Linked DNA regions of Astyanax mexicanus. The protein of the gene in region 2 purifies or fractionates together with the protein of the main gene of each other region. This does not show direct contact. Links are inferred from orthologs where the notes say so. Each region holds a gene or a part of one and is shown on either strand. Other genes may lie near its edges. The genes, in order: cfap410 and nek1.

The links.
Region 1: the proteins of nek1 (region 2) and cfap410 purify together in Homo sapiens (affinity purification with mass spectrometry; 3 studies listed by BioGRID and IntAct, with this or other methods). This does not show direct contact. The link is inferred for Astyanax mexicanus from reciprocal best matches to the Homo sapiens genes NEK1 and CFAP410.

The regions. Positions count from the first base shown.
Region 1 is NC_064423.1:30,242,272-30,246,205, forward strand, and holds the start of cfap410 (cilia and flagella associated protein 410), read left to right. Parts: upstream 1-1,109; 5' UTR 1,110-1,231; coding exon 1,232-1,308; intron 1,309-2,211; coding exon 2,212-2,230; intron 2,231-2,367; coding exon 2,368-2,414; intron 2,415-2,509; coding exon 2,510-2,739; intron 2,740-2,914; coding exon 2,915-3,062; intron 3,063-3,794; coding exon 3,795-3,891; intron 3,892-3,934. UniProt on the Homo sapiens protein: Plays a role in cilia formation and/or maintenance. Plays a role in the regulation of cell morphology and cytoskeletal organization. Involved in DNA damage repair.
Region 2 is NC_064408.1:51,274,377-51,278,310, reverse strand, and holds the start of nek1 (serine/threonine-protein kinase Nek1), read left to right. Parts: upstream 1-824; 5' UTR 825-937; intron 938-3,934. UniProt on the Homo sapiens protein: Phosphorylates serines and threonines, but also appears to possess tyrosine kinase activity. Involved in DNA damage checkpoint control and for proper DNA damage repair.

The DNA.
Region 1 (3,934 bases), on a different chromosome or scaffold from region 2:
TGCCTAAACGTAATATTTAATTTGTTATTAACTTTATATAAAGCTGCTGTACAGGCCAGGTGTTATTATTTATTTCCGTTTTGCAAAGGCATGGGTTAATAATACACCAGACGAGAATGTAAAAAATGTAATATGAAGTGTCTGAAGGGATTTTAAGTGGGGCAGGAGAGCCTCTATCTCTAATAACACATGTCAGGCTCTTCATGATGATAAGCCTTTCTGCAGGGCCTTCACACCAGTACAGGACAGTACAGAGTGATATTTGTGTTAATACTATTTTTATTTATTTATTGATTGATTTATTAATAGCAAATACATTTGTTGAAGAACATTTCATTTTACATTTTAATTTACTCAAAAGCTACACAGAACATGAATGAACCTCCTCTGTCCTGAGACAGAGTGTTTTAATGGGTAAAAATATTTTTGCATTGAAGCAGGCTCATTGCAGCCTTTAAAATGAAATAGTTAAAATATTTTAATTATAAAATATTATAATATTGCATGACCATTGTTAACTATTGTGTGTCCATTGTACTGGAATGAAGGGATTGCTGCAAGATTTTTACTACCCTACCAGTATATTATAAATACAAATAAAGTACTGCACTTTTTATCTGTTTATTAAAAGCAAAATTAAACCTGTCCTTATGTACGATTATATACATTATAATGTTTAAATATTTACACATACAATGTTTTAGTTACTTCTTTTCCATTTTTATTTCATTTTCATAACTTTTCTAATTAGTTTTAATAGCTTTGAAAATGAAATTGAAATGAAATCTTAAAAAAAAAGAAGTTGTTATATATCATGCTTAAGCTACTTTTTTACATTTTAATTTCAATTTCACATTTTTTTTCTTTTCCAAGCTATTAAAATGATACAATAAAAACTAAAATAAAAAAGTCCTTTACCAACCAAGAGGCAGAGATGTGAAGTAACAATTTAAAGCGAGGTGATGATATAAATGATATAAAGTGTGCTGGGTGAGTTAGATTACAAAGCCTAAAAAATGATTTGAACATAATAATGATAATATTTATAATGGAGCACAAACTCAGTACAATAGTGCTATCTAGCGCCTATGCTTGGAGGTGCATGTGCACGCATGCGCACTTTTGACTCCTGACTGTAGGCTAAAGGATGCGATGGCAGCTGTGCTAACGTGCTGCTGCTGCTGCTTGGACATTTTAGAGCAAATAAAGTGAAATAAACTATACAATTACAATGAAATTAACTCGGAAACTTGTCCTGGCGCGGGCCAAAGCTTCGGACCTGGAGAGTGTGAAAAAGCTGAACTGCTGGTATGTTTTAGCTGTGTGTGTTTAGCAGCTCGCTAACGCTTTAGCTAACAAACATGATGGGTGTCCTAGTAACGGTCTGAAGCCTGTTTACAGCACGATACGATACAGCCACAGCTAAGTAATAATATTAATACGATACGATACAGATTTATCACGATAATAAAAAGCTGAAAGTCGTTTTACCTGCTAATTTACCAAATAAAAATGGCAGTGAACCACAGGAAAGGTTAACTAGTTAAAACACTACATAAGAATTATTTGTCTTGTGCTTCTTCCTAAAATTATTAACATAATGTGTTATGGACCTAATTTCATTTCATTCACATTGCAGGTAAAATGTTTAGGCTTCACTTTATTAATCTTTCAAATAACTTATATACATGAACAATACAATCACAATATATTTGACTATGTTTGATCTAACATACACTATATTGCCAAAAGTATTCACTCCTCTATACATATAATTAAACTCAGGTTCCATTTTCACAATTAATTTTATTTGTAAGCCGTCCCCTTCAACCTTGTGTTTCTTACCTTGTGCAAATGCTGAATAAACGTTGATAAATAAACCTTTTTAACTCTCAGTCGCAGTCCAGGCAAAGCAATTTTTATTGTATTTTTTTATATTTGCAAATTCATCAATAAATGTTTTCAACTGCTTGATTTATGACAAAAAGTGGAAGAAAAAAAAAAACAAAATTGAGAAAAGACTGCATTACAGTGATGTTATACTCTATTCTTGCTGTTATTTAATTTTACATCTGAAATAGTTCATCTAAAGGGTATGGCCTTTGTATTCATTATTGTGTGTACTGTAAATCTTCAGATACACGAAAAAAGCTAAAAAAAATAAAAAAATACTGTAGCTTTAATGTTACTTACTTTATCTATATGTTACAGGGGCTGCAACCTGACAGATGTAAGTACTGTGTTCATGTGTTTGTTAGTGTATTATATAGTGTATCTTATTCAACATGTTTTAGTCTTTTTTTCCTAAAACAACATTTTATACATTCTTATACCTCTATATCTCATTGTGACTGTGTACATCCTCAGATCTCAATATTCTCAGAAATACCCAACATTGAGGTCTTAACATTAAGGTATGTTGGCTATACTTTACTTCAAACAATTTAAACCACTATGCTTATACTCCATCTATCCAATGTCATAATTTTGATCTATTTCTCCTTCTCAGTGCCAATAATATATCCTCCCTGGAACACATCTCCAACTGTCAGAATCTGACAGAGCTCTACTTGAGGCGGAATAACATCCAGAACCTCTCAGAGCTTAGCCACCTCCGAAACCTTTCCAGCCTCAAGGTTCTGTGGCTGGCAGAGAATCCATGTTGTGAAGATGACCCAGTTAACTACCGTCTGACAGTGCTGAAGAATCTGCCTGGCCTGCACAAACTGGACAACCAGGGTGGGTAAGACCCCAGTGTTTTAGTGTTTTGTTTTCTGCTTGTTGTCAAGTAATTGATTCAGTTTTTATTGAGACAAGTAGAATGTCAGCACACATATCATGGCCACTACATGCTTTCACTTGTTGTTATCTTACAAACTACTGTTCTTTTAACAAAACCATCTCATTTCTCAAGTTGTGACAGAGGAGGAACTTGCAATTGCTTTGGAAGAAGGTGAAGAAATGGTCACCCCTCCAGATCCCATTTCAGCCTGTTCCACCAATGGCCTTACAGAAGCAGACTCTGAGAATGACCCCCTTAATTACAGTATGGAGGAGACCAAGTAGGTTTGGATTGTTTTAAATATACTCACATAATTTAATAATCAAGTGCTTTAAGTCTCTGACACGTATATGTTAAATATACACATGACGATGTATATATAATGTGTGAAATTGATGTAGCCCAGTGTACTAAAATAATACACGTAAAGCCTAAGGGCATTTGTAGCATGTTAGTTGCTAATATCTAATGGAAAACTCCAGCAATGTGCCTTCTGCAGGCTTTAACCATCACATATTTAATTCAGGCTCTCTTAGGTACTGCATAGATTTTCTTATACGGTTTCTGACACATTTCAGCATACATTCATATCATTTAAATCTAGCTAAACACCATAATTGAATTAATTTAAAGCCTGGAATGTTTAAATATTTCAGTCCATGTCTTGGCTAGTAGTAGAAATAGTTTTTAAACAATATTTAAGTACAGAAATGTTTACCCAAATATGTCTCAGTGTCAGCATTGCACACTTTATTATGGTCTTGGTGCAGATCTGCTTACACTTTTTCTCTTTGATGCTCAGTTTTAGCAGGGCTGTGTTCCAAACCATATTCAGCCACACTACAGTTTAAAAAATAGTCATTAGTAGAATTGTATCGCCTTCCCCCTCTAATTTTGGGTTGAATGATGTTGGTATGAATGCAAAGCAAATCAGGAGTGAACTGTTACAATATATAAATTCTGTCTGTATTATAGGGGCTCTCTGTGTGATGCTTTGTGTTTGATTCCTCAGTAAAATCCGTGCCCAGCTGGGAATGAAGCCATTACCAAGAGATAAATTCCCATCATTTTCTTCCCCACGAGAACCAGGAGCTACCCCGAAGAAAAAGGTCAGTCCATATATAATGTGCTAAACGTTTTATATATATATGC
Region 2 (3,934 bases):
AACTTATATACTATATACGGGTTATTTATATGCCCTTTTTATGCCTTGTGTTTTTTCAATTTAAGAACTGAATTTGTTTCACCAAATGCGCACTAGAGTGCAGTAAGACACCACATAAAACCTGATGAACACTACAGCTCAATTTATCAATGCTTTTCAACTAGTTTACTCACACCACTCATCTAGCATTGCCATTATGGTCTTTATGGTCACGCTGGTCACCCAGCTTGGTTATGCTGGCCATCCAGCTTGGTCATGCTGGCCATTCACATTGGTAATTATGGTCCTGCTGGTCATTCAGCTTTGTCCTCATAGTAATGGTGGTCTTCCAGCTTGGTCATACTGGCCAACCACCTTTGCCATGCTGGTCATCCAGTCTGGTCATTATGGTCTTCCAGCTTGGTCAATATGGTCAACAAGTTTGTCATCCAGATTAGTCATGCTGGTAATCTAGCTTGGTCTTCACGGTCATGCTGGTCATCCTCATCCAGTTTGGCGATGCCGGTCAACCGGCAACATGTTTTAAGCCTAACTGGCCTCCAGAGGTCTCTTTGCCTGTAACGCTCGAACCCCGTAAATCGCCGCTTGCGGCTATATTATTATTATTATTATTATTATTATTATTATTATTATTATTATTATTATTATTATTATTATTATTATTATAGTACTTCTGTGTTCAGTCTCTTGTACCAGCCGGTGACGGTTGCTAGGAGAGATTTCCCACCAAACATTCACAACCTAACCCATTGTCGGCTGCGTGATCGATTGACAGATCAGCGGACCAATCAGAACACAGAACTCAAGCGCTCAACCAATAAGACAGCTGTGTTTCTTAATCGCGTCAGGCTATAGAGGCGGCTTGGTTGAGCAGAGTAACAGAGCTGAATGTGGCGGTTTGGAGCTGTAGGAGCTTCTTCACTCTACAGACGGGCAGGTACAGCCTTTCTCTTTCTTCACTGTTTAGTCCTCATATAACAGCGCCGGTGCCTCAGCAGCTGATGAACTGAGGGTTTCAGCAGCGGTATATAAGCAGCCATGTTAGCGGGCTGGCTGGCGAGCAGAAGACGGTAATTAGTTAGCTAGCGGTAAACTAACCAGTTAACAGTTGATCTGCTGCTGAGGATGATTCTTGTTAGCTAAGGGAGCGCTTAAGGGTCTGTGTTATGATCCTGCTGCACGGTTTGGTATCTTAATTGCCTAACCAATACTTTACCACGCTTTACCTGAGTGGGCTAATTCAGTAGTATCATCATCATCATGCTGCTGCAGCTGCACCCCCACACTCCTATAACTCCTCCTGTCGCTTTAAAACCGATGAACTAGATGCCCCCTCCTCTTATAGTCCTATATGGCCTAACGTTACACATTAACAGAATTTCGAAGTGCCTAATTGATTGCACTTTCAGACAGTAAAATTAAAAATATTTGTTTGCTGTAGCTCACATCTGTCTAGGTCCCTCCCTTTATAACTTGAGAGATAAAAGGCCATTGGATAATTATTTTTGACACATCATCTTTAATTCAGCAGCCCATTTGCACAGTGTGTTCTCCTGCTTTTTCGGTTGCTTTTGATTCCTTTCTTAACACACTGCTCTTTCATTTAATATCTCTATGTTGCCTTTCGTGGGTTAGATTCTTTCTAAAGCTCAAAGCTGCTCTGGTCAGTGCACAGAGCAGATGGAAATTGTAATAAGGTGCTATCTGGGAGTCTGCAGGGCGTCTATATTTAACCTTCGTTTCAATGGGAGGAACCAGAGCCCCTCCGCAGGGCAGTACTCTGGCTTAACGAGAAATAAACTGATTTATAACCCATACTGGACCAGATACAAGGATGTTCAAGTTAACTCTCGATGCCAGGCATTAAATATGTTGTGTAATGAGGTAGAATGGCTTAGTAATTGGGAAGTGAGCATACAGGATGAAATCTGCTTCACGTTTATTTGTTTATTTAGTTGTGTTTAGTTTTTGTGCTATGATGTGTATTAAAAAAAAAACTTTTTCACTGTTGGACATATGTTTTGATTGACTGATTGTTGTACATTGTACACATTGTACATTGTACACAGCTCTGAAAAAAGACTGGTTTTTAACTACAGTTTTCATGCATCTTGGCATGTTTCTTCTCCACCAGTCTTACACACTGCTTTGGGATAATTTTATGCCACTCATGGTGCAAACATTTAAGCAGTTAAGCTTGGGTTGATGGCTCATGATCATTTCTCTTCCTCTTGATTATATTCCAGAGGTTTTCAATTAAGTAAAATCAAAACAACTCATAATTTTTAAATGGTCTCATTTTTTTCCAGAGCTGTGTATATATGTTTTTTAGGTTATTAGATATTTACATTGGTCCCCAATTCCTATGTACTCCAGAATAGAGGTGTGTCATATTATACCGTACGCATTCATATTGCCAACATTTTTGTATATCGTAAACGTCATTATACCCTGAAATATCGTGCCATATCACCCACCCCTTAGTATTACATCAGGGTATACTTTAGCAATATTTGGCATGATGTATTTACTAAAGACAGATTATATCTGGCCAGTATCATTCATTTTACTTTAGTTCTGGATATATGGAGATATTTAAAGTGCATTATTAGTATCATGACATTATGGATCATTGACTTGTTACAAATCTGAAAAAATATCTAGTATCTAGTAGGGTTGCAGCGGTAACCGGTTTCACGGTATACCATGGTATTAAAATGCACGGTTATCATACCGTGTGTGTTTGCTTATTACCGGTAAAACGCAAGCCAGCGGAGAAACTCACCCGCGCATGCGCAACTCTGCTCCGCTTCAGCTGCTCAGCACACAGCGGTGAGAACAGCAGAAAGTGCATCAGACTAAACAAATCTCCGTCCGCCTAAAAAAAGGCTAAACTAAAATCAGCAGTGTGGGACTATTTCAGAGACCCGCCGAACGCACCCGAGGATGGTTATCCGATTTATAATCAATGTGGCCGTAAAGTCACAGCTAAAGGTGGACATACGTCAAACCTGTTCTCCCATCTCCAAGAACACCACCCCGCCGTGCAGCGCAAAGTATGTGTTTAGTTTATAATTTTAATCTGAACATAAATAAAATCTCTTTGTAGTCGTGCACAACCCATGCGGTAAGCGCCCGCAAAAGCGCTGAGTTATCCGAAATTTGGGCACGCAGGTACAGGCGTGAAGTGCGTGCTACGACGGATTCACGTGTCCGTGTAAAGGTGCTCGCCGGACTGGATGTGAAAGACGCCATTCATTTACATGCGTTAATTTTCAAATTCTGACGTGCCTGTTTTTCATATGTTAAAACCAGACTCAGAAATAAATCCCCTCTATCTGGTTATATACCAACTTGGCAGTAAAACGGACGTTTACAACAGTTGTTGATCAGACACTGACCCAGACTCAGACTCAGTTTATCAGATATTAAATAATTTAAACTTAAATAATTGTACTGAATAGTTTAAACACAGGATCTTTACTTCTTAGAGGACATGTAATGTGTGACACGTGTGTTTGTGTGTGTGTGTGTGTGTGTGTGTGTGTGTGTGTATATATATATATATATATATATATATATATATATATATATATATATATATATATATATATATATATATATATATATATATATTATATACACCCTTAATGACCTTAAGAGTAGTGGAAAAACCTGGTTTCCTTCACCTAATGGTGTACAGTTTATTTTTTTTAAGGAGACATTATCTATATAGTTGTTCCAGGTTTCTACAATAAATAGTTAATTGAACAAAAAACTTTGTTGTAATTTCTTTAAGGGTCAGTTTAATAATATATGTAACAAACTGTGATACCGTGATAACCGTGATACCGCGGTATTTTCTGAGACGGTTATCATACCGTGAAAATCTCATACCGTTGCAACCCTAGTATCTAGTAATATCTCAGTTAGG